Macaca fascicularis: one gene and its partners. The protein of the gene in region 5 binds, or shares a complex with, the protein of the main gene of each other region. Links are inferred from orthologs where the notes say so. Each region holds a gene or a part of one and is shown on either strand. Other genes may lie near its edges. The genes, in order: STRIP1, STK26, SIKE1, STK25, STRN3 and STK24.

Region 1 (4,619 bases), on a different chromosome or scaffold from region 5:
CAGCTGCTGCTCATCTAAGGATAACGCCATCAATGATAATAGCTAAGACCACTCACTGAGTGCCTATGTGTCCCGGGCATTGTTCTCAGGATATTACAGGTGCTAATTCATGTTAAGGATATAGGTACTGCTATCATCCCCATTTTACAGATGAGGAAACTAAGGCACAGTTAGAGCCAGGATTCAAACTGTGGCAGTCCAGTGCACGACTGGGTTTTTTTTTGCTTGTTTGTCTTTTGTTTTTTGTTTTTTGGGGTTTTTTTTGAGAGTCTTGTTCTGTTGCCCAGGCTGGAGTGCAATGGCGCGAACTTGGCTCACTGCAACCTCCACCTCCTGGCTTCAAGCAATTCAAGCAATTCTCCGGCCTTGGCCTCCTGAGTAGCTGGGATTACAGGTGCCCGCCACCACACCCGGCTAATTTTTGTATTTTTAGTAGAGATGGGGTTTTACCATGTTGGCCAGGCTGGTCTCAAACTCTTGACCTCAGGTGATCCACCCGCCTCGGCTTCCCAAATGGTGTTGGGATTACAGGCGTGAGCCACCGTGCCCAGCCATGGCCTGGGTTCTTAGCCATCGTATCCTGTGGCTTCTTGTGCAGTCCAAGCATGTATCACAGGATTTTGTGTCCCCATTGGTCAGTACTTGTCAGGGACATCACTTATCTTCCTTCTTGGAGGAAGATGCTGACTCTCAAAATCTCCTGCAGCAACAGTGCCGCCTGCAGCAGTGCTGTGAGGAAGCCCGCCATCTCCCTGGCTGACAGCACAGACCTCAGGTGAGGCGAGCAGCAAGCCTGGGCTTCCGAGCGTTAGTCAGAGATGAGATCAGAGCAGGGTGTGGGAGGCTGGCTGTGGGTGTCCTTGCTGTGTGTGCTTCTGTACACGTCATCTGCACGTTTGATGGGCCCACTGTGAATGCTTAGTAGGAACTGCTGAGGGCTCATCCTAGGTGGGGCTCTGGGTTGAGACTCCCAAAGGCAATCCAGGGTCAGGTGACTTAGAGCCACAGCTAAGTGTGGGCCTCCTACTCACACTGTTACTCAGGACCCAGTTGTGGGTGTTTTGTATTTGGGTGAAACACTTGATAATGTTCCCAGGGCTCCCGCCGCCTTGTGTACACAGCTTGATCCTCATCTTCACTGGGTTAGACCCGACAGCTTCCTAATGTTTCATAGCTGCCCAGGAGCTCACAGCAACTGCTGAACACCAAGATCACCCTTCAGTTTTTGAAGGTTGAAATCTGGCTCTTTTTATGAATTTGGAAGTTTTTAGACTAGGTGGTTGTAGTGTTCCCTCCTAGGTGTTAGGATCCCTGGGTGTCACCTCTCAGCTCCTGCTTTCCACTTCCTCATCAAAAACCCTGTTTTTGTTCTCGCTGTGACCCCGTTCTGCTTTGACCCTATAGCTCACTACCATCTCTGGTGCTTTTCTTTTCAGGAAGCTTAGGGCGGTAAATGCTTTTGGCCATTCTTGTTCATATTCATTTATTCAGCTACCATTTATTAATTTTTTTTTTTTTTTTTTGAGACGGAGTCTCGCTCTGTAGCCCAGGCTGGAGTGCAGTGGCCGGATCTCAGCTCACTGCAAGCTCCGCCTCCCGGGTTCACGCCATTCTCCGGCCTCAGCCTCCCGAGTAGCTGGGACTACAGGCGCCTGCCACCTCACCCGGCTAGTTTTTTGTATTTCTTAGTAGAGACGGGGTTTCACCGTGTTAGCCAGGGTGGTCTCGATCTCCTGACCTCGTGATCCGCCCGTCTCGGCCTCCCAAAGTGCTGGGACTACAGGCTTGAGCCACCGCGCCCGGCCACCATTTATTAATATTAAGCCCCTGCTTTATGTAAGCACTTTGTTAGACACTAGGGTGCTCCTTCGACCCCCCCACCGCCCTACTTCATTGTGAGCTGGCTCTTGTCCTCAGGGTCCTGCTCAACATCATGTACCTGATAGTGGAGACCGTTCACCAGGAGTGTGAGGGTGACAAGGCTGAGTGGAGGACCATGCGGCAGACCTTCAGAGCCGAACTGGGTAGGACCCTGGGGATCCTCTCTAGAGGCCCTGCCTGGAAGCTGAGGCGGAAGGCTTTGGGAGGGTCCTGATACCTTTGTGTCACCTCCAGGCTCCCCGCTGTACAACAGTGAGCCGTTTGCCATCATGCTGTTTGGGATGGTGACCAAATTTTGCAGTGGTCACGCCCCTCACTTCCCCATGAAGAAAGTTCTCTTGCTGCTCTGGAAGACAGTATTGGTGAGCACCTACTTGGAGGAGAACTCAGGTGCTAGGGGATGGGCAGTAAGGAGACTGTTCCTTGAATATCCTTTTGAATATTGAATTATGTGACTATAAAACTGCTTTGGTAAAAAAAAAAAAATTATTTAAAAAGCGCTAAAAGGAGATGACAAAGTAAGTGCCACTATTGTCCCTTTGTAGCCAATGAGGACATAGGCCTTGAGTCAGAACAGACTGTTGGCTCCCTGACTCCTGGAAGATGTTTTCTGTCATAGAACAGCTCTCCCCCAGACAAGCTGCCTCTCAGCAAGCAGCTCTGGACCTGGAGTTTGTAAAGGGATTTAAGGCAAAGTTAAAGCTGGTGTAATTGGGGCCCTGGTAGGATGTCACTTGAAGGGGCAAGCGTGAGCCCTGAGCCAGCCTCCATTTTCTTCAGGGTATGGTGTCAACCCGACTCTGTGTCTAGGTAGGGAGGGACTGGGTGCCAGCGTGGGCCGTCCAGCACACTGGGCTTTGGAGCATTGTTAGCAGCCAGGCCATGCCAGGAGGCCTTCCCAGGAGGAGTGGCGTGGGGGAGGCAGTGGAGGTGGGTTGGGCCTCTGTTACACTGGGGCTCATCCTTCCTTTCAGAATGGGTCAGCTCTGGAGCCAGGGCTCAGTAAGTGTAGGATTTCTTGAGTCATTGACGCATTTTTATCTTGGCCACACATCCTGTTCTTCACAAAGCCTTGCTAAGGCCAGAGAGGAAAGCTGAACTGCTCAGAAACAGCAAAACTAAGCAATCTAAAATTGCTGCATGGTGCTGGGGTTTCTGTTTCTTGGGAGATGTTTAGATGAAGCTTTTTTTTTCTTTTAAATTTGAGCAACCAACTGTATTTCCAGTTTGACTTGGAAAGACTCGCATGTACAACTCGTGAAACATGAGTCTCACCAACTTTTCTAGGGACTTGCAGGGTTAGGCTCTTTGCTTTTTAAATGAAGAGTATGTCATAGGTGCAGAGTTAGTGTATCTGCACTAGGGTCAGTCAGCCTGCATCTCTACTCTTTCCTTGTTCCTTTTTCTCCTTTCCCTTGCGGATGTCGCAGAATTCTCCTCGGGAGTGGCTTCAGTCCGTTGTTCAGGGGTTGCCTGGGTCTCTATAAAGACGTGGGTCATGATGTGATGGGTGCTTCTGAGCCCAACACAATGGTCAGGGACCAGCCCTGTGGACACGTTGACTCTGGCTCTGCTTCCCTGTCTGTAATGCAGTGCACGCTGGGCGGCTTTGAGGAGCTGCAGAGCATGAAGGCTGAGAAGCGCAGCATCCTGGGCCTCCCCCCACTTCCTGAGGACAGCATCAAAGTGATTCGCAACATGAGGGCAGCCTCTCCACCAGCATCTGCTTCAGACTTGATTGAGCAGCAGCAGAAACGGGGCCGCCGAGAGCACAAGGTGAGGGTGACAGAGGTCCCTGTGACTCCTGAGGGCCCTCAAGGTGTATGCTTGCAGCAGCACAGTCCTTGGAGGAGCAGGGCTGCTGGAAATGATCTCTGATCAACCAGTCAGAATCATGCCTCCACGGCAAGGACACTTTGTCCCCAGCTCTGGTCCAGTTTATGGTGGGTGCTCAGCACGTGGTGCTTTTGAGGGACTGGAGCAAGAAGTACTTGATGGTTTGGCCCCCGTCTTGACTCCCCCTCTGGTTTTTCCACTGTTCCTGCCTCTACCTGACACCCCTGTGCGCTGTGTCTCCTCCAGCCGCACTTCCCTAGTCTGCATCCTCAATTGGCTCTTGTCTCATCTCACTTCCCTGGTTTCAGGCTCTGATAAAGCAGGACAACCTAGATGCCTTCAACGAGCGGGATCCCTACAAGGCTGATGACTCTCGAGAAGAGGAAGAGGAGAATGATGATGACAACAGTCTGGAGGGGGAGACGTTCCCCCTGGAACGAGATGAAGTGATGCCTCCCCCACTACAGCACCCACAGACTGACAGGCTGACCTGCCCCAAAGGGCTCCCCTGGGCTCCCAAGGTCAGGTGAGTCTCAGACCTCCAGAGCACTCATAGCTCCTGAGGCCAGAGCCCTCACACCCTCAGGCCTGCCGCCTGGCCTGCGTCACCGTGTGTGGTCCTCTGCAGGGCAGGCTGACCGTGGCTCTGGGATGAAGCTCTCTTAAAGCGCCTGGTGCTGTCCTGAGGGTCTCAGGGAGGCTAGCCTTGCTGGTCTCACACAACATGGCCCCCATGTGGCTACTGAGTCAGTAATTGGAGTTAGCTCTTGGTTAGACGTGCTAGTGAAGGGGGATAGGAAACAAATAAAAACAAAAGCATTTAAGCAAACATGTCCCCACCCCTCCCGGGGTTGTATATGATTTTTAAGGGAAAAATGATAGATTAAGGAAGAGTTTCTTTA
Region 2 (4,619 bases), on a different chromosome or scaffold from region 5:
AAAACAAACATTGAGGACTGTGAAATTTAAATATTTATTTTCAAAACCCCAAAACACTGGAGTATGCTTCACCTAGAAACAGTTTACAGGACGAATAGCTATAATGAATAAGCAATACAATTTGTATTTGGGATGCAATTGTGTTGTAAAGTTTCAAATAATCAATTTATAAATTTGCTGCTTTTACTTTTACAAAAATATTCATTTAACCCATAACATGAGTTGCAAAATTATCTCCAGACTTCTACAGATTATAAACTGTAATTGTGTTTCAGTTACACAGCGGGTGAAAAATTTAACTGAACCATTACTTCAAAATACAATGCATTAAAAATAATTGTTACAATATAGGCACCAATAAAAAGAATTTTCTTGGCATACAACACCAGAACAACCTTCTCAAGTATCTATACCATGTAAAGTAAAAAGAGGATGTAATGGCCACTTTGACTAAAAACTGTATTCCTTACAGGAAGAATATCTTTCGTCTAATATTTGGCAATTACTCAGATTTTTTTAAAATGACTTTTGTGCAAAAACCAAATTGTGCAGATCCAAACAATTAAACATTAACTATCAAAACTAAATATCAATAATTCTACAACTACTAAAATATAGCCCCAGTTCAGAACTTAGGCAGGCATAATACTGGGCTTAAAAGAAAAAGGCATCACCAACATAATAGTGCCATAAATATAAGTGAAAATTAACTGTGCAATCTAACTTACCTTTGAGTGGACAGAAATCATCCTGTACTATGGTTATTTTCATGTGAACTAGAAAATGCTCACTTAAATATCCTTTTAAAAACAACAAACTGATGCTTATTAGTGACAATTATGAAGAACAAAAATATATAAATAGTTTATAGGACAATTCATTACCATGGCAAAAATATGCTGGTGTAACTTATATTCATACCTATGGATCAGGTATTTAATCACATGACAATCAGCTTTTTTTTTTTTTTTTTTGGCTCTCAAAATCCAAGCAGATAGTATGGGATTTTAGTTGAAGATGTAAAACATGAAGCCAGACTAACTCCTCCAACATTACCAAGCACCTATCCTTGGGTAAATGATCTTGCTTTAAATTTCTAACCATGTTAAATAAGGGTAAAATTGCCTCTTCTACCTAAAAGAGAATGTAAATACTATACACCAAGAGGTACCTCTGTTGCTGTACATTGCCTGTAAATGCTTCAAACACAGGATCTCAAATGTGATAATCATTGAGCTGCCTGGAATATCATACCAACTTGGTAGAAGAATCAATACTTTTACAGGTTTCATTTAAAAGACTTTACTAAAATTTTCTGTTTTAAGAAGGTATGACTTATTTACACCTCCCCACCAATAGTCATTTTTAGAATACGCATGTTTAAAAAACAACAACAACAACAACACTTTTTGAAGCTTGATACTTTACAAAAGCTGAATACTGAGAATGACTTTGAAAGACCTGTACGTTTCATGACTGTAGTCAATTAAAGATCAAGACGTGAAAGGTATTCATCTTAGTAACTTAACTTAAGAAATAGGGATACTTAAAAGCAAAACGGTGTCTCAACATTTACTAGAATACAGGTGAAACTATAGTATTAAAAGTTACTCCTTACAAAATAATCCTTTCAAAATATAAAATGATAAACACCATCACAAAATAGTTTAATAGCTTCTTCCAAATCTTCAGTGTTGCAAAGATCCAAAAGGCACCTGGAGCTCATGGGTTAAGCATTGTTAAGCTTGAAGTAGCTTTGGTGGGGCTCTCTGGGTCCATATGAAACAGAAGCCAATAATAAGTTTCTTAGGGGGATTCGTTTGCTGAACACCTATAAAATTTTTTAAAAATGTAAACAAATGTACAACTATGCATATTTATATTTCTCTTTTGTATGAACTCTGCAATGAAGAAACTGATTCCACAAAAGGGATACATTGTTTTTATGGAATCTCATCATGTAGATGTTAAAATATAAACAAGTTCAAAAATCCCTTCTGTATCTGATTTCACAACTTCCAATTGATTTGTTTTCAAATGGGAGGTCTTCATTAAAATATAAGGGATTTTAAGAGGGGGTTAGGTTTACGAGTACAAGTGAGCCTTATCAGATAGAAAGATCTTTGAGAGTGTGTGATTTCACAGGTCACAGAGTTTGTTCCAACTCAATCCCAGTGGCATCACAAACAAAGAAATATAAAGATGCACTGAGAAGAGATATAACAAGGTCAAGGCTAAAATTAGTATCACCTTATAGCTTGCTTGAGCTAAGGAGTGTATATGTGTGTACATGCATACAAAAGTCTTGTTGAAAATTTTTTAAAAAATTAAATGTAAGAACTTTTTTGAATGTGAACAAAATCAAATGAATATTTCAAGAGACAACATAGAAACTGAAGTTGAACATAAGAGCCCTTTTTCAGTCTGGATTGAGTCCCTCTACCTTTTCCTTAACTTTTCATATGGAGGTCAAATGTAGGAACTTTAGCACTGGAAATTATGCAACTAGTGGTGTTTTGTTAAATTCTGAGGGTAGTGGCAAGAAAGAAAGCATTCCCCAATGATATTAATGAGAGCTCAAATGAGAATATGCTCAGTGACCTTTTGTCCATACTCCTACTAGTGGAGAAAGAAAAACAGGCCATTTCATGCAGTGGAAAACTACCTTGTCATGCCTAAAAATTCCAAAAGCTAATGTTTAAGATACACAACAAACAAAAACTATTTTTAAGTATACAACTATGTATTAAAAGGTGACTTTGTTAGGAATAATTGGAATGGTTGAATCAACGAAATTACATTGCATCATAAATTAACATACAACAGAAAATGCAAAATAATTTTTAAAATGACATTTCCAACTTACTTTTGAAATTTTTCAATTAGCTTCTTCACCATTTTATCTGTGATGCCAGGACAGGCGGCTTCAGCCACAGCAATACTTTTCTCGAGTTCTTCAATCGCCTGATTCCTGCTAGCATTATTCTCGTCCTGCTGTTTAAGCTGAGAAAGAGTAATAATTAAAACACTTAAAATATTATACTACTTCAAACAGATATCCAAGGCCAATTAATCTGTACTTACTTCAGCAAATGCAGGTGTGATTATCATAGACAAACAGCTCAGGGTTTGCACAAGATCTTGCTCCTTTGAACAAATGATACAGATTATACACATGAAATTAAAATAATTGTTATGATTTTCTTATTCTTTAACAAATACGAACTAATTTGAATGCCCCACTGAAAACAAAATATTGTATGCAAGGCAAGTCTCTAAGCTTTCTTCCTGTCATTCATTCCCATTCATCATCCAGAAGTCCTCTAACTTCTAGGATTACAATAGACACCTATGATTCCCTGGGCTTATGTATCTCTAGGTGAAATGCACTTAAAAAATACCAATATGGGCCGGGCACAGTGGCTCAAGCCTGTAATCCCAGCACTTTGGGAGGCCGAGACGGGCGGATCACGAGGTCAGGAGATCGAGACCATCCTGGCTAACATGGCGAAACCCCGTCTCTACTAAAAAATACAAAAAACTAGCCAGGCGAGGTGGCAGGCGCCTGTAGTCCCAGCTACTCGGGAGGCTGAGGCAGGAGAATGGTGTAAACCCGGGAGGCGGAGCTTACAGTGAGCCAAGATCTGGCCACTGCACTCCAGCCTGGGCGACATAGCGAGACTCCGTCTCAAAAAAAAAAAAAAAAAAAAAAAAAAAAAAAATTCCAATATGGCCACTTAAATAACTTCTATTAACTTTTTTAATTAGCTCAAAACTAATGACAAATGAAGCATACTACAAACACAGTGAGGCAGACAGGCATTTGGGGTATTCAATCCTAACAATTTTGGGCCATTATAATCTCACTACATAGTTTGAAAAACTGTATGAAGAGTAAGTAATTGTCTCCATATACATACTGCCCCATTCTGTACTTTCTTTGGATCAGGCTTCTTTCGTACGGTGGTAAAGCTCCATTCAGGATGAGTATTGTTTTCCCTGCTGGTAGATTCCCTAAAGAGATTGCCAAAGATACCTCTATAAGTGACCAAATGATTCAGCTTGGCAAAAATATCAAATCGATGTATGTAGAATCTAAAGGAATAATTGTCCCAATGTTTAAAAACTCCTGGTACAAAAAAGATCTGATCTCAGCTGCAGGTGAATACTACATTTTACTACAGAGTGGTAGTGGAGTGGTTCTCAGCTCGATGTGTGCTTCATTGAGACCTCCTACCAAATGTAAATACCTGTCCCTCACTGCTCCCCACCTATTGAATCAGGATCTCCAGTGGTGTGGCTTGCGATTGCTTTAAGGTTCCATGTGCATCCATGTCCCTACAAAGGACACAAACTCATCCTTCTTGGACTCGGGAAGGGGAACATCACACACCGGGGCCTATCATGGGGAGGGGGGAGGGGGGAGGGATTGCACTGGGAGTTATACCTGATGTAAATGACGAGTTGATGGGTGCTGACGAGTTGATGGGTACAGCACACCAACATGGCACAAGTATACATATGTAACAAACCTGCACGTTATGCACATGTACCCTAGAACTTAAAGTATAATAATAATAAATAAATTTAAAAAATAAAAATAAAAATAAAAAATAAAA
Region 3 (5,234 bases), on a different chromosome or scaffold from region 5:
CCGAGTAGCTGGGACTACAGGCGCCCGCCACCTCGCCCGGCTAATTTTCTTGTATTTTTAGTAGAGATGGGGTTTCACCGTGTTAGCCAGGATGGTCTCGATCTCCTGACCTCGTGATCCGCCCGTCTCGGCCTCCCAAAGTGCTGGGATTACAGGCTTGAGCCACCGCGCCTGGCCAGGGATACAGTTTTTAAACAAATATATAATGTTTCTTATATTTAAAACCAAGAAGTGAAGAGTAGAATGCATTTTCTGTTTTCACTCTTTGCCCAGACATCAAGTTGATAATCCTATGGTTATCAGTGATATGCATCAGCTCATAAGTAACCCTTCAGTATGTGAACATGGGGAATTTTTAAATACTGGGCTCTTCGATATGGATTTGTGTTACAGTCATGTTATCTTCTCACGCCTTCCAAGATTTCAAAGGATCTGATGGCTGTAATTGCAGAGAATAAATGAGTAATCTTTAGTCTATTTCAGAAATAGAAGGCCAGATGATTCCCTTTCCATAAAGGATTAAGTTTTCATCCAATGCCAACTCTGATAAGGCCTTAGTCATTTCTGTGGGTGAAATCTGATCTGATGCAAGCAATGTTATTTTCATTTCTGAAAATTATCTATGTCCAGTGCATCAATCACCCAATAGGTCCACCCTCCAATAAAAATATTTGAAACGGAAAAAAAAATCAGTTGTAGTTTAACTACCCATTGGATGTTGGATACTACCTCTAAGTGGCTGTTTAACTTAAATTTGAATACTTTCACTGGCAGGAAGCTTACTACATTCCAAGGTGCCTTATTCTATCTTTGGACATATCACTTAGAAAGTTTATCTATCTGAGTAAACTGTCTCTTTCAAAGTTCAGGTTTTTTCCTCCATATGAGAATAAATAAAATCTATTTTTCTCTTCCAGTTGAAAGCCATTCAAATATTTAAAATATCTGTTTCCTAAAACTTTTAAGTCAGTAAAATGCATTCAATGTAATTTAAGATGAAGCTTATATTTCACTACATCTCACAGAAGTAGTAGGCTCCAACTTATACATCTAGAATTAAATGACACAGTACACACGAATGTACAATGACAACCATGAAGCACCTACAAACATAAGAACAATTACCGAGTCTCCCAAATTAGATAATAAGCAATCAAAGCATAGAAACTATGCCATGTTTGTTTTTTTTAAAAACCATACTTCTATCCCCTAATAACATAGTATGATGCTATGTGGTTCAGTTTATAAAAGGTTTATTGACTGCTTGCTATATGTCAGGTACTATGTTAGGAATAAAATGTGAATTCAAGTGCCTCACAACCAAGGAGCTTAAGTGAAATGTATAATAACCAACCAAGTATTTACTGGGCACCTTCAACACTAACTGACATTACGTTTGGTGTGAGGGCTAAGAATTAATGAACATTTTCAAAAGAGATCTTGGTGAGGGAGGGGGAACGTTAGTCCCATTCAAATAAAAGGACCTGAGCAACCACTATCCTTCTTTCTATTCATATCTTTACAAAGCCATGGCAAAATAAACAACAAATATGATAAACATGAAAGGAAAACAAGCTTACTTTTCTTCAAAAACAAGCACACATGGCCAGTCACAGTGGCTCATGCCTATAATCCCAGCACTTTGGAAGGCTAACGTGGGTTGATCGCTTGAGCCCAGGAGTTTCAGACCAGCCTGGGCAACATGGCGAAACCTCATCTCTACAAAAAAAAAAAAAAAATAATAATAATAAAAAACCCCACAAAAATTAACAGGGCATGGTGGTGTGCACCTGTAGTCCCAGCTGCTCAGGAGGCAGAGGTGAGAGGATGGCTTGACCCCAGAAGGCAGAGGTTGCAGTGAGCTGAGATCGTGCCATTACACCACAGCCTGGTCGACAGAGCCAGACCCTGTCTCAAAAAGCAAAAAAACAAGCACACAATCTAAAACAATCTCAAGATTTCAATTTGGTTCATTTCAAATTTATTCGAAGTTTCTTACTGCAGAGTGAGACTGGTGAGCTTTCAGGACTGGTTCAGCATCCACAGCTTTTTTAGCAACCATTAACTGTAACATCTGTTTCCGGTACTTGCTCATGATGAGCTCCAAAGCATCCTGGTGTTCCTCCAAGGAAATCCACAGCTCTGTCAAAAAATAAAATAACTTGGCAGTGATGTCTGAGAGACAGTTCCCAAATCCAAAGTCTTAACAGTTAGAATTTTGCAATACTATAGAGATAATATGAATCCAAGGTTGTAAATCAATGTTTCAGTCCACAAAACTGAGCAGTTAAAGTCTATGTTAAAGGTAACTTTCTAGGCAGAGAAGCAAAATCTTGCAGTAACAACAACGGATATGTCATCAGAAGACATGGATTTGAGTTCAGTTCTGTAACTTGCTTGGTTAATACTCATAAGTAAATCATTTAGCTTCTCTGAGCCTATTTCTTAACAGCATTGTGATAGATAAAAATGAAGATATGAGAATACAGTAGAATGATATATGTGAAACCCCTCTGGTAAACAACTATTAATACTACAGTCATTAATAATGTACTAATCAAGCCTAAGAATATATACCCTTAGAGTAAAATTCTGCTGCTTCACCTTGCACAAACAAGAACATAAACAAAACCTTAAATCTTACCTTCAGTGTTTATATTAATATTTAAACATTAAATTTTAAGTCCATGAGGATATGAACTCTTTTGTTACACATCTGGAGATGCTTAAAAATAAACCATGCAATAATTCTAACTCTACATAGCCCCTCTTTGGTAAGCTGCTACAAAATCAGTCAGATGACCTTGAAATGGGTAATCTAACAAACTTTACTGTTACTGAGCCAGCACAGGAGGACTCTCCTACTAAAAGTACTGACCTGGAAATAGATGCACACCCTTGTGAATGTTTAGGGCAATTTTGCAGTAACTTTAAACTATTACCAGATATGAAAAGGCCTGACTAACCTCTGTTTTCCTGTTGCAAGTCTCTAATCTGTGTGTTCTCTTGAGACAGCAGAATGTGAGGTTTGTATTTGGACATGTCCTTCATATCGGATGCATCCTCTTGATACTGGACAAATAGAGACAGTCTAAGCATGCCTTAAAGAGAACAGCGGCAGATGCAACTCAAGTGGCAGAAGTCAGGGCTCTAGGGCAGGATTCTCAGCTCCGACCCAGGAAAAAGGTCTCACCGCCGCCCTCTGAGACCGGGAATAAATTTCAGGCCGAGTTCCCACTTTACCTCGCTCTCCACCCTTCAGTGCCCAGAATCCGAGAGCACTGGACTCCTACCCTCTGCCTGACCTGGTCCGGAAGCGCTGTCCCCGCCTCCCGCATAGCGGCTACCCGCCGGTGCAGCGCTGCCGACTGATCCACCAGCGACTCGGCAGCCGCATCGTGCTCCCGCAGCCTCTCCAGAAGCGTCTTGGCGTCTGTCAGGATCTTCTCGATGGTGCAGCTCATAGCAGCAGCACAACCCCAGCCCCTGCCGGGCTCAGCTACGCGACTCGCTCAGATCTTCTGGGAGTCTGTCTCAGCATTACTGGCGTCACTTCCGGGCACGTTTAAAAGGTGTCTTGGCAGACGCAAGAGGCGCCTGCGCAGTGGCACCCTATTTTGCGGGTTCACCCGCTTTTACCTGTGGCTTCCTTGCAGTCCTGCCTGACGCGGAGCCCCAGACCTGCCCTTACCACGCTCTTGGTTTCCAGTTGCCACAGCCTGGTGGTCAGGCCATGATGAGCTGGGCAGAAGGAAGGTCTCTTTTCCCCACTGGTTTTCATTGATGTGGATTGTTATTCAGTCACAGTTATTTTCTTTTTATTTTCATTTAATTTTTATTTATTTTTTTTCGTTTTTGAGACGGTATCTTGGTATCTTGCTCTTGTCGCCCAGACTGCAGTGCAGTGGCGCGATCTTGGCTCACTGCAACCTATGGCTCCAGGGTTCAAGCGATTCTCCTGCCTCAGCCTCCCGAGTAGCTGGGATTACAGGCATGCACCACCATGCCGGCTAATTTTTCTATTTTTAGTAGAAACGGGGTTTCACATGTTGGCCAGGCTGGTTTTGAACTCCTGACCTCAAGTGATCTGCCTGCCTCGGCCTCCCAAAGTGTTGGTGTGAACCACTGCGCCTGGCCTACTTTCATTTAAGTTTTAAAAAATTGTGGCAAAATGCACATAAAATTTAATATCTCAGCCATTTTTAAGTGTACAGTTCAGTAGTATATTCATATGGTTATACAGCCACCATCAGCATCCATTTCTAGAACTCCTTCGTCTTGCAGTACTGAAGTTCTGCACTCTTTAAACAATAACTCCTCATTCTTCCTTATCCCCAGCCCCTGGCAACCACCATTCTACTTTGTCTCTACAAATCTGACTATTCTGGGTACCTGACGTGAGTGAAATCATACAGCATTTATATTCATATAACTGCCTTGTTTCACTTAGCGTAATGTCCACGAGTTTCATCCACACAGTAGCATATGTTAGAATGTTCTTCCTTTTTAAGGCTGAATAATATGTATATGCCACGTTTTGTTTATCCATTCATCCGCTGGACAGTTGGGTTGCTTCCGCCTTTTGCTATTGTAAATAATGCTGCTATTACAACTGGCTCACGTCTGGCTGTTTGTTGCCTAGAGGCCAAAATCATGAGAAGTGACTGATGATGAAAGGAAAGCAGTTTTACTAATCAAACGCTCGCAGATGGGGAATGGCTACACTCATGCCTTCAAAACAGCATTCCGCTTTTTTTTTTTTTTTTTTGTCAACGTATCCCAGAGACAGTATCAGTGTCCAAACTTTAATTTTGTCCCATATCAATGCCAGGGTGGTGTGCTACCTGTCCTGAGTCCATCATGTCACTCCTGCGGCCAACCGACTTAGAGTCAAAAGAGTTACAGCCAATTAAACATTCTAGGCCAGATGGGGAAGGAGGTGGGCAGGCACTCATTAACCTTAAAACTCCTCTTAAGCAATGTTAAGAGCCAAAAACCAAAAACCAAAAGGCAAGGTTACAAAATTGACTTATCTATAAATTCTATGCATTGAGCTGCTGTAATCTTGGCTTGCTGCAATTAGCTATATGAAATGCAAGCATTTTGTTCAGCTGTTTTGGCATCTGTGTGTCATCCTTGATTTGTAGGGTCTGAACTGATTTTAGCCCTCAATACTGGCCCTTACAACATTATGTTATAGTCTCTAGGCCTGAGGGGATTGAAGAGTTTCAACT
Region 4 (5,073 bases), on a different chromosome or scaffold from region 5:
CCTCCCCAGTACGTCTACTCCCTTCCCCAGTGCCCACACTCCCTTCCCCAGTGCGCCCACACTCCCTCCCCAGTGCGCCCACACTCCCTCCCCAGTGCCCACACTCCCTCCCCAGTGCGCCCACACTCCCTTCCCCAGTGCGCCCACTCCCTTCCCCAGTGCGCCTACTCCCTTCCCCAGTGCCCACACTCCCTCCCCAGTACGTCTACTCCCTTCCCCAGTGCCCACACTCCCTTCCCCAGTGCGCCCACACTCCCTTCCCCAGTGCGCCCACACTCCCTCCCCAGTGCGCCCACTCCCTTCCCCAGTGCACCCACACTCCCTCCCCAGTGCGCCCACACTCCCTTCCCCAGTGCGCCCACTCCCTTCCCCAGTGCGCCCACACTCCCTCCCCAGTGCGCCCACACTCCCTTCCCCAGTGTGCCTACTCCCTTCCCCAGTGCACCCACACTCCCTTCCCCAGTGCCCACACTCCCCCCCCAGTGCGCCCACTCCCTTCCCCAGTGCGCCCACTCCCTTCCCCAGTGCACCCACACTCCCTCCCCAGTGCGCCCACACTCCCTTCCCCAGTGTGCCTACTCCCTTCCCCAGTGCGCCCACACTCCCTTCCCCAGTGCGCCCACTCCCTTCCCCAGTGCGCCTACTCCCTTCCCCAGTGCCCACACTCCCTTCCCCAGTGCGCCCACACTCCCTCCCCAGTGCCCACACTCCCTCCCCAGTGCCCACACTCCCTCCCCAGTGCGCCCACACTCCCTTCCCCAGTGCGCCCACTCCCTTCCCAGTGCGCACACTCCCTTCCCCAGTGCGCCTACTCCCTTCCCCAGTGCCCACACTCCCTCCCCAGTACGTCTACTCCCTTCCCCAGTGCCCACACTCCCTTCCCCAGTGCGCCCACACTCCCTTCCCCAGTGCACCCACACTCCCTCCCCAGTGCGCCCACTCCCTTCCCCAGTGCACCCACACTCCCTCCCCAGTGCGCCCACACTCCCTCCCCAGTGCACCCACTCCCTTCCCCAGTGCACCCACTCCCTTCCCCAGTGCGCCCACTCCCTTCCCTGGGTCTGATCGCACCAAGAACCAACAGCACACAGTCACAGGGCACCTCAGAGCTCCAATTTCTCATCCCGTGACCCAAAGGAGCTATTTCTGCAGTTCTTAAAAATAAACTGGTGGCCGGGCACGGTGTCTCACGCCTGTAATCCCAGCACTTTGGGAGGCCACGGCAAGCAGATCACCTGAGGTCAGGAGTTTGAGACCAGCTTGACCAACATGGTGAAACTCCGTCTCTACTAAAAATACAAAATTAGCTGGGCGTGATGGCACACGCCTGTAATCCCAGCTACTCGTGAGGCCAAGACAGGAGAATGGCTTGTACCTGGGAGGCAGAGGTTGCAGTGAGCTGAGATTGCGCCATTGCACTCCAGCCTGAGCAACAAAAGTGAAACTCTGTCTCAAAAAAATAAAAAATAAAAATAAAATAAATTGGTGACAGATTTTTCTCCCAGCACCTTAGTCATGTAAGTTACCAGATACAGAAAGTCAAAAATCTGTTAGCTTAATTCAGCATCAGTCAGCAAGCCCCAGTCCCATCTGTGACCGCGCAGGTCCAGGCTGCCTGGCCCAAGAGCTGCACACGGTATTCCGGGTCTCTAGGCTGGTCCAGTTTCCTCCAAAGCAGCCCTGACTCCAGTTCCTGCCCCTATGCGGACAGACGCCCTTCCTGTTCCACTGCACACCCAGCTCTCAGGAATTCAGCACAGAGGAGTGAACAAGGAGGGCCACACATTTTAGCGGCGATTCCAACACCTTAGGCAGAGCCAAGGCATCAAGGAGAGCAAAACCGAACGCTAAGACGTAAAAAAACCCAGCAGCCAGAGTCAAAAAAATGGGGAGAGGTACACAGTGCAAGTCTCCAGGTCCCAGGCTGGCTGTCCCCACCCTCCTTCCCTGGCATGCCCTGTGGCAGCAGCAGCTGGTCCTCATTCCAGACTAAGGGCTCGCTGTAGTGGCTCCCTCCGAGGCTGTCCCACCAGACGCTTCAAGGTGGCTCCATAGTGGAACCGACTTCTTCAAAGAGGAATGACGAGCCTCCTGTTCGGGCAACCGCCCGTAGCAGGGGTTAAACGGTTCTGAACAGAGCAGCCTTTTCACCTTCCCCTGGGCCAAAGCACACACGCGTTTTCCGCTTTCCCTGCACACCGGCCGCTCAGATCGGCTTCTCCACGTTCCCAGCCCCTCAGCGCCCATCAGGGTCTCCTCTACGGCCCCCGCCCAGCCCAACACGGCCAGAACGGCCGGAACGACCCGTGGCCCGGGCTCAGGCCGCAGTGTGGCCCCTGACCTTCCACTGCCTTCAGATGCCGACACGAGGTTCCCGCCCCGCGCTGGGGGCAGCGTCCTGTCCCGGAGCCGGTGTCTCTTCACGCACCTCCGCCGCCCTCGCACAGGCGGAGCCACCCGGGGCTCGGTGTCAAGAGGTCTGCGAGCTCCTACCACGCAAAACGCCACAAGCACACGGCAGAGCCCGGGGGCCGCCCTGCGCCCACCTCAGGACGGCTCCGCTGGTCGCACGACGCGCGCTCCTTCCCTCACCCACCGCCCGCTCCGGCGAGGCGCCCCTCGGAGCCCCCGGGAAGCTCTGGCGCCCCTCGCTGAGAGGCCGCTAGTCTTCCTGAACTGCACCCTCCTCACCTGGTTGGCAAATCCCCGGAGGTGAGCCATGGCCGGGCCGCCTCGGACCCTCCGCCGACAGCCCCGAGAGGCGTCTGGATCCCGCGGAGAGGCGTGGAGCCGGCTCGCTCGCCCCTGCGGCGTCAGTCCACTGCGAGGGACAGCAGGAGCGGTCGGCGCCCAGTTCAGTCATCTGAGACCGAGCTCCGGGGCGGCGGGCTGGAGGGGGGCCCCAGGAGACCCCCAGGCCATCGGGGCCCCGCCACGCCCGGGCCTACAGCCCAGGCTCCCGGGGACTCGCCGCCCCTCCCGTCCCCGCCCCCACCTCTTCCGAGGCAGCTTCCTCCCGGTGCCCCCGCCCCGGAGTCCCCGCCACCGAGCCCCGCCCCGGGCCCCTCCCTCCGCCCCCTCCCCAATCGCCGCTAACGCGCGCCCGGCAGCGCGCCCACCTCCGCGGGGCTCCATCCCGGCCTCCCCCGGCCCGCTCTGCAGCGCCCGCGAAGGCTCCCACCCGCAGCCTCTGTTCGCCCGGGGACCCCGGGCCTCCCAGCCCGCGAAGCAACGGCGGTGGCGGCAGCGACAGGAGAAAGCCCGGAGGAGGCGACGGCGAGGGCGGTATTCGGCGTCGCGGCCCGCGCACGGCTCTCTGGGACCCCGAGTCCCACCGCCCATTCCGGGCCCGGAAGCCTGCTGGCGTTGGACTACAAGTCCCGGCAGGCCGCGAGAGAGGGGCGGGGCTCACATGCGCCCCGCGAGGCTCTCTGGGACCCCGAGTCCCACCGCCCATTCCGGGCCCGGAAGTCTGCTGGCGTTGCACTACAAGTCCCGGCAGGCCGCGAGAGAGGGGCGGGGCTCACATGCGCGCCGCGAGGCTCTCTGGGACCCCGAGTTCGGCTCCCGAAAGGCTTGGACTGCGTCTCCCAGCAGGGCGCGCGGCGGGGCGGGCGGGGCACGTGGTCGTTGTCGCGTCGCGTCTTCCGTGCCTCGCCCTCGCTGGCCTTCTGCGTCTGCTGGCGCCTGCAGGGCGTCGTCTCCGACGTGACGGCGGCCGCGCGGCGTTTCCCTTGGGCTCTGCCCTGCGCAGCCCTGGTCCGAGCTGGCCAGTAAGGCCCCGCGCCCTCCCCGCCTCGCCCCGAGGATCCACCGCGGCCGCCCAGGCTGTTGGCCTTGTCCTCACGGCTCGGAGATAAGCCGGCGCTGGTCACACCGCGAAACCCCTGTTCGCACCGAGACCCCGCTCGGGATCATGCGCACAGGCCAGGGCGCAGCAAGCCTTGGAGAAGCTACCTGCACAGCCCATTCCTTGCGCGACCTTCGCATCTTCTGCCTCAGTTTCCTTACCTGTAAAGGGGTGATCATAGGACATCCTTGGTCACACCTTTGTGGGACCCACCTGGGCTAGAGCGCGGTACCCGCCCAGGACAGTGACTGCTGCTGGAAACCGTCGTGGCACTGGGGTCACCTCCCCAAGGTCAGGGAGGGACTTGCAGAGCCCAAGGCTACCTGGTGCGCCCCCCTGCCCCGTGGGCCGCCAGGTCATAGTGCCCCCTGTGTGCATTCCCCTGGTGCACCGCAGGGATCCCCACCTGTCCGGTGAGGAAGATTTGTCTGTCCTCCACTCTGTGTCCACCCTTACAGGCCCTCAGTTTCCATGATGGCTCAGCACAGATGACTATCCTGACCACCTCACACCCCTCCTTCCTCAAGAGGGTTCTGGCGTTTCTCTTTGCTCCCTGGTGCGTGTTTTCTCATGGTGCGTTGCCAAGTCCTTTAAGAAGCCATGTTTCCCTGTCATGCATCCAGGACAGCCCCTTGAACCCCTGGGTCCCCATCTCATCACCCCTGCTTGTTGACATACTGACTTGGTTTTGTTTGTGCTTTGACTCCCCAGGAGGAAGTGGGCTTCCTGCAAGCAGAGCTGTGCCCAGGACCATGCCAGCCCATGACAGGCATTCAGTAAGTTTGTTGAATGAATGTGTAATATATGAAGGTAATATATGTATTGAATGTGTGTAAATAGATGCCTGCTGCATCTCTGGCCTTCATGTGGTAATTGCTGCACTTTTCAGAAGTGTCTAGAAGAGGCTGGGAGCAGTGGCTCACACCTGTAATCCCAGCACTTTGGGAGGCTGCGGCAGACAGATCACTTGAGGTTAGGAGTTCGAGGCCAGCCTAGCCAATATGGTGAAACTTCATCTCTACTAAAAAAAATTAGCCGGGCATGGTAGTGCGTGCCTGCAGTCCCAGCTACATGGGAGGCTGAGGCAGGAGAATCGCTTGAACCTGGGAGTTGGAGGTTGCTGTGAGCCAAGATCGTGCCACTGCACTCCAACCTGGGAAACAGAGCAAGGCTCCATCTCAAAAAAAAAAAAAAAGGTGCCTAGAAGAGTTTTCCAGCTTTTA
Region 5 (5,308 bases):
TCTAACTTTTACAAGTCGTAACATGATAGATGTTGCTGCTTAAAGATCCTTAAGTTAGTAGGAGATATTTTGCTTAGACTTAACTTGATTTCTTCATTTCTAAGGGGGGAATCTCCTGAATTTTCTATTTTCAGGATTTTCAAAAGCTGGTCTAGAATAGTGATTTGCAAATCCTAGTGTCTTTTCCATGACAAGATTTAATGAATCTACTATGAAATTACAAAAAAGAAAAGTGTAGTGTAGTGATTTTTCTCTGTAACAGGCACTACTGTGAAGAAAGAATCACTTGTAGAACTTTAAAAAATACGTAGGCCTCTCAATCTCTGGAGATCTGGACTGATCTAGGGCTTGAAGTGGACTGTCTGTGGAATTTTGGTAATTCATGTTATATAAAAGTTAAGAAACAACTGTCCTACGACCTTATTAACAATGCTTTACCTGAGTTCAAGGTAAGGAAGAATCAGAGACAGAAGAGCTTTAAGACATGATCCTTTGGTTTCGTTCCAAGTTTCTAAGACCTTTACTATAAATTCTTTTTACGGAGAACAGAATCATACTGCAAAGTTCCTTTTAATATCTCTCCCAAAGCCAGGGAAAAAAATATTCCCCATTAAAATTTTACATCAATATGGGGTATTCCTTAAGCTCATGTTCTCTATTGAAACTATTCCATAATTAACACTTTAAAAATATGTGTAGATGGAATCGCACCGGAGACTGCACATAATAATATGTAAGTTGTCTTAATTCTAGATTGTCTTTCTTAAAAATAAGTTTAGGTTTACAGTAAAAATCCACTGATGCTTCACTACATCCTCCCACAAATATGTATTCAACACATACATTTTAAAATATGCATCTCACAAGCAATCTCAGTAGACTGAAGGCACCTAAGGCAAATTCAATATTCCTGATAGAAACTAGAAACCTTATTAACTAAGTTAACCCAATAAAACATTTTAAATATATAACACAAAAAAAAACCAAAGCCATCGTGAACATTTTACTCCAAAAGAATCAGTACGAAATAAGTCTAGAAACAGTGTAGGACTTCTTCAAAACAAGGAAACAAACAAAAACGTAGGATGGCTAATAACAGAACTACTGTACCAATAGATCTGAAAGCAAGCAAGCAAGCAAGCAAAAAGAATCTTCCTTAAAATTCTTTGCTGCTGCCCGTTAAGGAGAGGAGACCAAGAAGGGAAAGCAAATGCTAGAGCAGGCAATAAAGGCTTCTTTAATATATAGTATAGGTTTTACTAATTTGCGCACAAGATATCTTTCTTCTCAGCTGCTCACATTAGTGAAGTTTATGGGTGAAAAATGCAATTGTTAACTTAAACAGTGTTAAAATCAAAACTTGCATACAATAGTACAAAGGTCAAAGAAACCATAGCAGGGACTGGTGAAGTATTACTTAGTGAGCCTAGGCCTTAATGCATTTGTCAATCCAAATTTTAAGAACAAATGCCTAACTTTACTCACACAGAAAATTAAGTTTACAGTATGTAGTAGAAAGCTGTATATCAACAGAATTCTATAAATTTTAAGTATTTTAAAGCAAGACTGTACACAACTTAAAAGAAACCAGTTTTGACTTCAGCTTTTTTAAAGTTATGTAATTTTAAAGCCCAATATTATATCAAAACACAATTGTAAAGCTATGACTAACAAGTATTACAATTTTTTAAGACTTCATACAGTGTCAAAATACCCAAGTATTTTTTACTTTTGAAAAGTTTAACTTCACCCACTTTGTGCAGTCATATAAAAGTTTACTAGTTCAGAACCAAACTAAACCCTTTGTTTGAGGACACCCTTTCTAGTTAATCCAATCCTCCTCCTTTCAGCACTACATTTGCCTAACTATTCACCATAGGCATATGACATATATGACAGCAAACACTGCTTACCTCCTAAATATACAACAGTCTGAAGAACAGGTGCCATACTATTTAGACGCATGCTTTTTGCTTCTAAGCCTAAATTTGCCCTGGAAAGGTACTTAAAAATAAACACAAATACCTAAGAAAGTTAAATAATCCTTTCAAAAAGATGCAGCAATTTTGAGAACCAGGACATGAGCTGTTAACTACCAACAGCTTCCAAATGTGTAGCCTATCAAAGGTTCACATCATGAGGATCGAGTCAAGCTCAACTATGAAGGGTCCTGAGAACATCTCACTTCTCCTGCACAAGTAACATGATATAACTACATTTCAGTTCAAGCGAATATTAAATCTCTTCAGTCGTTTCATAAGTACAGCATCGATCGTCTGGTTGGGTTTTTTTATAGATAAAGAGATGAGGAAAGGAGATCTAGTGAAGAGTACTGTGAAAAGAAAAATTCAGTGCTGAAAGCGTTGATGAGTCACTAAGTAAGGAATAACTACAGAAAATCCAAGTGACTAAGGCAGCATCTCAGGTAAGAAAGTACTTAAAAAGTTGACGATGGGAAATAAAACTTCACAGGTCAGTCCCAAGTCACTGTGCACCGTAGCAGCCCAGGAAAGAAGCGTGGCTGTCAAGGGGCAAGTGCGTACCAAGACTGAGGGAGGGGGCCAGATATGCCAAATCGGAAAGGGGGGGTGGTCCGGAAAAGGGGGGTAAGATGCCTATCCTAGTCATTCTCGTCAGGCTCTTCATCTCAAGAGGAACAAACAAGAGTAAACTCTGGGTCGAGAGGCCCCAAACCGGACTCTCCCACAGAAAGGTGCTCGGCCCCAAGCCCCGGAGACCCGGGAAGGCCGCCTCCAGAGGAGCCCCCGCAGACGCCATACTAAAAGCCAAAATGGCTGCCCGGAGGAGGCCCGCACCGCGTAGCTAGTGAAGGTTGGGGAGCAAGCTTCTGCGGGAAAGAGGGAGGGGGACTCCAGGAAAAGCCGTTGAGAGGACCATCACACCCCGAGCAGCACAGGTAGGTTCCGCTCGGCCTCCCAAGGCACCGGCTCCGGCTGAGGGGAGTCCCCGGCCCCACCCCCCGGCCGGGAACCCAGCCGCCGCAGCCGTCCCGCACACCGACCCCAACGAGGTACCTGCAGTTCGGCCCGTTCCACCTCCCAGTGCGCCCGCTCCATCTCGAACCGAGCCCACTCGTGCTGGATGTAGTGCAGTATCCCCGGGATAGTGTACTGCTGCGGCCGGGACAGCTCGGGGCCTGCCGCGGGACCCGCTCCCTCGGAGGCCGGAGGACCCCCGCCGCCCGCCGCTCCGTTCCCCCCCGGCGGAAGGCCCAGGTTCCCCCCAGGTCCCTGCTGCTGCCGGGGAGGGGCCGCCATCCCCGGGCCGCCACCACCGCCTCCGGCAAGCTCGTCCATTGTGTGTGGGGCCCCGGCCGGGGCGCAGGGCGAGACGCCGACAGCTGGGGGAAGGGCCGGAGAGGGTGGCCCCGCGCTGGCTGCGGGGCGGAGGCCGGCCGGGAGAGGGGCGGGGAAGGGGTCGTTACTGTGTGCCTGCCGTGGGTCAGAGCAGGGAGCTGCCGGCCGCCGCCATTACAGTCCCTCCTCCATCTGCCCGTCTCACTCACTCACTTTAGGGGAAGGGGGGCCGCGGCGGGAGGGGTGGGGGGAGAGTTGGGAAGGGGATAGGCGGAGGGCCGTCACTAGCGCACAGCATGCTGGGTAGCGAACGCAGCCTCACGCTTAATCGCCAAATAGAGTCCGGCCTCACCCTACGCCGGCGCACTGAGAACGCAACCCGGGTCGCCGTTAGAGGGCGGGGAAAGAGCTCGGGCTCCGCCTCTAGGCCGGCGTATTGACCCGGTGCGGTGTCTGCCGGCAGCTACGGGGCGCCGGGGCTCCGACTTTGGCTTTTGGAAGCGAGGCGGCCGTAGGCTTCCTGGTTATCAGTTTCCTTCGAGCAGGCCGTCCCCAGGCGCAGTTTCCTTCCCAAGGGTCTCTCACCCGTGTGCCGGGCTTCGGAGCTTGTTATTAACCTGGCTGGTCGCTCTGGCCGACCGCAGCCCGTCTCGGATTCCTGACGTTTCTTTTTCATTCTTTGGGTGTTTCAGGCAGTCCCAAGGGTGGGCCCTCTTTCCCTTCCTGTCACTGGCTCTGTCTCTGGTTTCTTAGCACCAGTCAGTTCTCTTCTGGCAAATAGCCAAGATCCTCCGCCTGTGGTTACTGATTCCTCGTCTCCGTCTCGAGCCTGGGCTTTGGTACCGTTTCTGTGCGCTGGGTCGCGCGTCGTAACTTATTCCACTTTGCGTCCCCTCTTCTTTCCTTTTCTGGAATGGGTTGTGTTTCGGGGGGTTGGGAGAGGGGGAGGAGCGATTTTTTTTTTTCTTGGGAGAAGAAGAGGTAGTGAATTCCTTTGGATCTTGACGATGGTAGGTAAAGGGAGAAAAGTTTGAAGGAGACTGGCTAGACTAACAATTTGATATCTTAGAAATGAATGGGCTCACAAATATTGTCATCAATAGACTATTTTGATCGAAACAGAAAATAAAAGCATTGTGAGTACAACTTAAAATCCTAGATGGATGTTCTCCTGGGTCATTAAATGTTTAAGTGAATATGGCCGGACGCGGCTGCTCAAGCCTGTAATCCCAGCACTTTGGGAGGCCGAGGTGGGCGATCACTTGAGGCCAGGAGTTCGAGACTAGCTTGGCCAACATTGTGAAACCGCATTTCTATTAAAAATACAAAAATTAACCGGGCGTGGTGGCGCACGCCTGTAGTCCCAGCTCCTGAGGAGGCTGAGGCACGAGAATTGCTTGAGCCCAGGAGGCTGAGGTTGCAGAGAGCCGAGATCGCATCACTGCACTCCAGTCTGGCGACAAAGCGAGACTCCGTGTCGGAAAATTTTTTTTAAAAGTTTGAGTGAATGTAATATACGCATAAGAGACAAGGCTAATATTTTAAGTACAATCGTGGGTATTTTTATGTGCTTAGTTTCCTAGAAAATATCCTAATGCACTAGAATGTTTCTAAAAATTAATATAGCTAAGAAGCATTTATTTGAAAAATAAGACAAAAATAATTAGCAACATAAGGAAATTAGGTTCGGTAATTATATTAATAGCGATACAGGAAAATTGCATTTAAGATCTGTTACTTTTTAAAATTTTTTTCTTTGTTGCAAAAGCCAATAAAACTTGTACTAAGGAGTATGCACTACCAACCAATCAGGAAGTAATTTCAAAGAGATAAAGTAATTCATCTTATTTTATCATGTCTGCTTTACTGTTATTACAGTATAATGGAAAGCAGATTGGACTTGTTACTCATGCTGCCATGTTTTATTTATATATGAAATGAGATATTAGATCGTAGTACTATAATGCTAGGGACTATTTCTTCAAATTATT
Region 6 (5,338 bases), on a different chromosome or scaffold from region 5:
GCAGCGGGCAAAGTCTTGTGGGGGGGTGTAGACACAAGGGATGGGTTATTAGTGCCATTATTGTAACAATCCACAAGGTTGCCTTCCGGTCCCCAGGGTTCATGTCCCTTACACATGCGAGAGAGACTCTTCCCTCCAGCATCTCCCCACTTCCCTCCTGGCACGGCGTCCGACTCAAGGTCTGCATGCCCTGCCTGCTTTGGGCTGGGTGTGGATGGGCTGCCAGCTCTTGATTCAGAGAGCCTCAGCTCAACAAGAGTTGTGGGACAGGAAGAGTGGGCCAGCCGCAGAGACTCCTCTTCAAAGAGGGCAGGGATGGAGGCATCTCACAACAGATGGGCCGCAGCAGTTCTGACCTAGAGCCAAGCATGGGCTGTCAGGGCCTCTGCTGGGGCAGTGCCCAGCTTCTAGCATCAGTTTTTGTATTAGTTGCCTATTGTTGAGTAGCAAGCCAACCAAAACCGAGTGGCCAAAACAGCAGGCTCACGATTTCTCGTGATTCTGTGGATTGAGCAGTTTTGCTGGCCTTTTCTGGGCTCTCTGTAGTCAGCTAATGGCATGGTTGAGGCCAGGTGGCCCAGGATGACTTGAGGCACATCCTGGGACCTCAGCTGGGGTCCAGGAAGTGGGCAGATGTCATTGTCTTTCTGACCACACCATTTTCGATTGCCTGCTTTCCCCTGCCTCGTGGTCACGTCCCTCTGCGGAGGGAGCTCTGCGAGTCCTCTTGGGGCCTTGCTTAGATTATATTCATCAGAACACAAAGCAAGACTAGCCACGGAGGCAGCCACTGTCTCTTGCTGGGGGGAGTGTCCAAGTCACACTCATAGGGTTGTGGACCCAGAGAGGTGGGATTTGTGGGTGGTTCTTTTTGTAACTGTCTCCCACAGGGTCAGCAACATGGTAAGGGTTTGGATACATTCTTGTTGCCTACTTTTAAAATTAAGTCTCAGAAAGCAAAGGCCACTGTTTTCTTAGTATGGGAGCAGGACGGTTACTGGAGGGGGGTGATCAGCTGACCTAGCATGATGGTGTTTTAGTGGCATGTCCCTTGTGGGGGCTGCCTGGCCTCCTGTCCCAGCCTGTGCCGAGCGGTGGTTCTCCAGGTGTGGTCCCTGGACCAGCAGCATCTCCCTCCCACCCCGGGATTCCAATTCTTGGGCCCACCCCCAGTTGACTGAATCAGAAACTCTTGGTGGGGTGGGGCTCTGTGGCCTTCCAGGGGAATGTGAGGCTCACCCAGGTCTGAGAATCACCGCTCCCAGGAATGACAGTGCTAACCGGCTCTCCTGACCTCAGGAAGGCAGGCTCTTACCACCCTTCTCACCCTTGTCAGCAGGGCTGCCCCTTCCCTCCAGGGCCCCCTGTCTGTGTGTAGGATAGCCTTTGAGGTGTCTCATCTGTGTCCTGTTCAAGCCAGGGTGAGTCTGGGGTTTTCTTATTGCTCAGGGGACATTTCCTGACCACAGTCCCATGCCATTTGTTATACCCGGGCACAGGAGTGTAGAGGTGCATGAGACACAGCCCCTGACTCCTCAGCTTGCAGCTGAACAAAGGACACAGCGCAGAGCAGAGGGCGACTGTGGGACGACAGTCCAGCAGGGGAAGCGGCGAATTCCGTGCACACATGTTGAGCTTGAAATGTCTGGGTAGAAAGAGAGAATGTCTGGGAAGCAGCTGGTCCGGGGGTTCCTGTTCAGAAGGCAGGCCTGAGCTAGCGCTTTGAAAGCTGTCATGTACATGAGTCTTGATCACAGCCTTTCCTTCAAGGTGGTGATTGACCAGAATCCATTGGGGTGTTTTAAAAACATGGGTTATTCACCTTGTTCTCTTCTGAACTCCCATATATTTCTGCAAGAATGTCAGATGTCCCAGGTTTGGGAAACGAGGGCCCCAGACCCTGAAACACTGGGCATCTGTGGGGAGAAGGAGTAGAGGCCCAGGCTGGGACCTGGAGTAAGGGCCAGACAAGGTGGAGTCAAGTTGGAATCTCTGTGAAGATCTTTCTGGAACTAGGGGGACTGGAAGAAGCCAGCGGGAGCAGGGCTGTGGATGCTGAAGGACTGGAAAGTTACCCAGAGGAGGGGGAGGGCGTGGTTGACGAGGCTCAGACACGACACTGCAGCACTGGTGACCGGAGCCAGAGCGGAGCCAGGCTGCAGTGGTGGGGAGGACCAGGCAGGTCCAGATGACTTTGAAGGGACTCCAGAGGAAGGAGAGGGTGGAGGAGGAGGGCTTATGGGTTAGGGAGGGTGCTGTCGTTTGTTTTAAATGGGAGAAACTGGAGCATGTTGCCAAGGGCAGAGAGCCAGCAGAGGGGTGAATGGAAGAAGGAGCCGAGAAGGGGTTTACTGACGAAGCCGTATCCTGGAGGAGAGAAGGATGGACTCCAGAGCCCAGCTTTGGGGACTGGCCTTGAATAAAAGGAGGGCCGCCCTACCTCACCCTGGAGGGAGCACGGTAAGGGAGAGGGCATGAAAGCAACGAAGATAGTAGCTGCCGAAAACGGGGTATGTTTCATTATAGCTAAAAAAGGAGATGAGCGCTGCTTCCCCCGCATCCCCAAAAGCTTCTCATCCTAGCAGCTTGTGTTAGAGGAGGTGGAGGTGCAGGCTCAAGGCCGCGTGCAGGGTGAGTCAGATGGGAGGTACCCACCCGGGCATTCTGTGGCATTCCCAAAAGTGACTGGTGATACTCAACTGGTATTGACAAGCTTGAACATAGGAAGAGGAGGATATTGTAGGGCTGCTCACTAGCTCCGAAAACAGTCTTCACTTGAGGAAATTATCCTGGGCTCTGACTGTGGGTCATTGACTATCTTGGTAAACCCAGGGGTCTTGGACTATGTTTTTAAAACCTGTAAGTACACAGCCAGGCTTCCTCCTAAGTATGACTGTCTTAAGATGTTTGAAATGTAGTGCCATGACTGAAAACAGTTTAGCAACTGTTCAGGAAAAAAAATTAAATGCCTCTTGATTAATCACCCAATTGATATGTTTAGTGAAGTACTTTAAGTGGAAATGAAGTTGGATAGATAGTTTCATTTTTAACACAACGGACGTTTGTGTAGCTTTTTAGGAGCCAAGGGGGATCATGGCTAAAACTGTAGTCCTTATAATCCCTGGCAGCTCGTTAGACCTCGGATTACGCTGGCCATGACCTTCCGGTGTGGGCTGAGCGCTCAGTGCCTGGCCTCTGGCCTGTCCTGCTTTCTTGGTAACCCCAGGATGCGTTTCCCATTGGGTACATGTCCAGCACACAAGCCTTACTTGGTTCATTTTGTACTAAGATGGTTGGTGGGTTTTGTGAGCTTTTGTGTTGTTTGATGTGCAGCCTCAAACCAACATGGGGCAGGGGCACTGCTCCCCTGTGTGCAGGAGGTCACTGTGGCTATCTGCTCATGTGTCGTTGTCATGATATGTGCGTTGTTGCCATGGTGGACACGCTGTAGCACAGTAAGGCCTGCAAACCAGAAATGGGCTGACTGGCTTTCAGCAGTTCTCTTGGAGAGTAGCTGCTCGGAACTCAGTGTGTCTCACCTTGGAGAGCTGTGGCTGGGTAGCCCCTGATGGCCCCGGAGGCTGGCCTCACTCATGATGCACTGCAGTTGCCATAGTGCTGTGTGTGTGACCCACCTCACATGCACTGCTCTGTGGATACCCTCTTCTGTGTCATCTTTCTTCTCGTTCTCTTTCTTTACCTCCTTCTCAGGCCTCCCTGTCCTCCCTGTGTGCTTGTTGCTTTCCCTAGTAGTTCAGCTTCTTCAAAGGACTGACAGATTTGGAGGGTTGGCCTGGCATTCTCTTCCCTATGGACCATTTCTGAGGGAAGATGTGTCTGCAGCGGTGGCAGTTCTTAGAGTCCTTCCTTGCTCTGTGGGGTTCCAGGCTATTGCTTGTCACCAGGGTGCCATTGGCATTTTGGGCTGTGCAGTTATTTGTGGGGAGATGTGCAGCGTCCCTGTCTTGCCTTGCTAAACGTCAGGATCGCTTCTCAGTTTCCTGACAGACAGGCCCTGTGGAGGACCGGTTACTGCCCCCCTTGAGAACTCGGCTGTTCACACGACTCTGTACTGTGTAGCTGTTAGGATGAGAGCTTGAACTCTGACAGCTAGCCTTCTTGGAACTGTATACTACATATGTGTGTGTAACTAATCAGGTGGTTAAGAGCTTTTAGAGGCTATTTCCGGGGTACAGCGTTTATGTGAGAAAAGGAAACAGGCTGCTTATTATTTTCTGGAATCTGGTTAGATTGTTACCGTTTTGGTAAAGGCAGTACTACTCATGAAGAGGCATACTTACGGTATACATTTTTTTTTCTATTCTGTGATATAGCTGGTTAACATTTTAGTAAAAATCCATTTGAATTCCGGAACTTGTGGGGATTGGGTGGGGAGAAAAGTGAATTTTTGCTTAGACAAGAGTGATTTTTCATTAAATCTATGTATCCTAACATGTTCAAATAAGCACTTAGATTTTAATTTACTCTCATTATACAATAGTTGGCATCTTTTCCATGTTTTCTAATCTAGCTGGGTAATTGTTCTTACTGGATGCTTGCTCTCTTTCATAGTCTGATGCGCATGTGTAGGTGAGACCTAGGAATCTTACGCCCTGACCCTGCAGAGCTGTGGTCACTACCAGCCTGATGGCTGGACAGAGAAAATAGATGAGTCCCTGGAAGACTGTGTGGTCTATAACATTACATATAAAATGACAAAGGAGTTGTGGTGCTTTGAGGGACTGAAGTTTCCCTTTTCTCTTCCTTCTCTCTACAGAACCTAAAGGCAGATCCAGAAGAGCTTTTTACAAAACTAGAGAAAATTGGGAAGGGCTCCTTTGGCGAGGTGTTCAAAGGCATTGACAATCGGACTCAGAAAGTGGTTGCCATAAAGATCATTGATCTGGAAGAAGCTGAAGATGAGATAGAGGACATTCAACAAGAAATCACAGTGCTGAGTCAGTGTGACAGTCCATATGTAACCAAATATTATGGATCCTATCTGAAGGTAAGGCTTAAAATAACGTGCTTTTCGTTCTGCAGCACTTGGCTGAGGTGCAAGCAGGGGATGGGAAGGACTCTGATAAGATACAGCACAGCAGGTTTCAGAGCAAGGAGAAACGTTTTGACCTTCGTGATCAAAAGAACCTGGCTTCAATGGTTCTGTCATCTCAAATGTCACCTATAGAAATATTTGTGGCGAAAGTGTTTGATGTTATAATTCTCTTTTGAACAAGAAAGAGTCTTTCTGAGTGGGACTTTGTCATAAAAACTGCTTCTTATTAAGTTATTATAACAGTTATTCACGTAATTTTAGGATGGCTTATGATTAGTATTA

The links.
Region 1: the proteins of STRN3 (region 5) and STRIP1 are in contact, whole or in part, in a cryo-EM structure (PDB 7K36), measured with the Homo sapiens proteins. The link is inferred for Macaca fascicularis from reciprocal best matches to the Homo sapiens genes STRN3 and STRIP1. Residues at the interface, in NP_001077362.1 of Homo sapiens: Thr64, Pro66, Gly67, Leu69, His70, Tyr71, Gln73, His74, Val88, Glu89, Ala91, Glu92, Ala95, Arg96, Phe99, Leu100, Glu103, Gly106, Gln107, Leu110, Asp113, Leu114; in NP_149079.2 of Homo sapiens: Arg441, Ile445, Tyr447, Leu449, Thr455, Val456, Val457, Gly458, Leu459, Arg491, Ser492, Pro493, Leu494, Ser495, Phe792, Leu793, Pro794, Val795, Asn797, Cys798, Leu799, Val802.
Region 2: STRN3 (region 5) and STK26 share a complex: the UniProt entries of both Homo sapiens proteins name them as parts of the core of STRIPAK complex. The link is inferred for Macaca fascicularis from reciprocal best matches to the Homo sapiens genes STRN3 and STK26.
Region 3: the proteins of STRN3 (region 5) and SIKE1 are in contact, whole or in part, in a crystal structure (PDB 6AKL), measured with the Homo sapiens proteins. The link is inferred for Macaca fascicularis from reciprocal best matches to the Homo sapiens genes STRN3 and SIKE1. Residues at the interface, in NP_001077362.1 of Homo sapiens: Arg176, Leu179, Tyr182, Leu183, Val186, Tyr188; in NP_079349.2 of Homo sapiens: Glu96, His97, Ala100, Leu103, Ile104, Ser106, Lys107.
Region 4: STRN3 (region 5) and STK25 share a complex: the UniProt entries of both Homo sapiens proteins name them as parts of the core of STRIPAK complex. The link is inferred for Macaca fascicularis from reciprocal best matches to the Homo sapiens genes STRN3 and STK25.
Region 6: STRN3 (region 5) and STK24 share a complex: the UniProt entries of both Homo sapiens proteins name them as parts of the core of STRIPAK complex. The link is inferred for Macaca fascicularis from reciprocal best matches to the Homo sapiens genes STRN3 and STK24.

Annotation. Positions count from the first base shown.
Region 1 is NC_088375.1:124,270,373-124,274,991, reverse strand, and holds part of STRIP1 (striatin-interacting protein 1), read left to right. Parts: intron 1-706; coding exon 707-775; intron 776-1,917; coding exon 1,918-2,024; intron 2,025-2,115; coding exon 2,116-2,243; intron 2,244-3,474; coding exon 3,475-3,657; intron 3,658-4,025; coding exon 4,026-4,243; intron 4,244-4,619. UniProt on the Homo sapiens protein: Plays a role in the regulation of cell morphology and cytoskeletal organization. Required in the cortical actin filament dynamics and cell shape. Part of the striatin-interacting phosphatase and kinase (STRIPAK) complexes.
Region 2 is NC_088395.1:138,329,911-138,334,529, reverse strand, and holds the end of STK26 (serine/threonine-protein kinase 26), read right to left. Parts: intron 4,015-4,619; coding exon 3,921-4,014; intron 3,148-3,920; coding exon 3,085-3,147; intron 3,004-3,084; coding exon 2,867-3,003; intron 1,832-2,866; coding exon 1,807-1,831; 3' UTR 16-1,806; downstream 1-15. UniProt on the Homo sapiens protein: Serine/threonine-protein kinase that acts as a mediator of cell growth. Modulates apoptosis. In association with STK24 negatively regulates Golgi reorientation in polarized cell migration upon RHO activation.
Region 3 is NC_088375.1:119,590,206-119,595,439, reverse strand, and holds the start of SIKE1 (suppressor of IKBKE 1), read right to left. Parts: upstream 3,537-5,234; 5' UTR 3,465-3,536; coding exon 3,294-3,464; exon of another isoform or gene 3,244-3,293; intron 3,073-3,243; coding exon 2,967-3,072; intron 2,143-2,966; coding exon 2,000-2,142; intron 440-1,999; coding exon of another isoform or gene 407-439; exon of another isoform or gene 264-406; intron 1-263.
Region 4 is NC_088386.1:137,458,212-137,463,284, forward strand, and holds the start of STK25 (serine/threonine-protein kinase 25), read right to left. Parts: upstream 2,722-5,073; coding exon 2,692-2,721; exon of another isoform or gene 2,342-2,691; intron 1-2,341. Other genes in the region: uncharacterized protein, read left to right, coding at 2,720-3,712. UniProt on the Homo sapiens protein: Oxidant stress-activated serine/threonine kinase that may play a role in the response to environmental stress.
Region 5 is NC_088381.1:98,837,220-98,842,527, forward strand, and holds the start of STRN3 (striatin-3), read right to left. Parts: upstream 3,512-5,308; 5' UTR 3,318-3,511; coding exon 3,036-3,317; intron 2,918-3,035; exon of another isoform or gene 2,777-2,917; intron 1-2,776. UniProt on the Homo sapiens protein: Calmodulin-binding scaffolding protein which is the center of the striatin-interacting phosphatase and kinase (STRIPAK) complexes.
Region 6 is NC_088391.1:89,413,549-89,418,886, reverse strand, and holds the start of STK24 (serine/threonine-protein kinase 24), read left to right. Parts: upstream 1-2,160; 5' UTR 2,161-2,382; coding exon 2,383-2,460; intron 2,461-4,777; coding exon 4,778-5,008; intron 5,009-5,338. UniProt on the Homo sapiens protein: Serine/threonine-protein kinase that acts on both serine and threonine residues and promotes apoptosis in response to stress stimuli and caspase activation.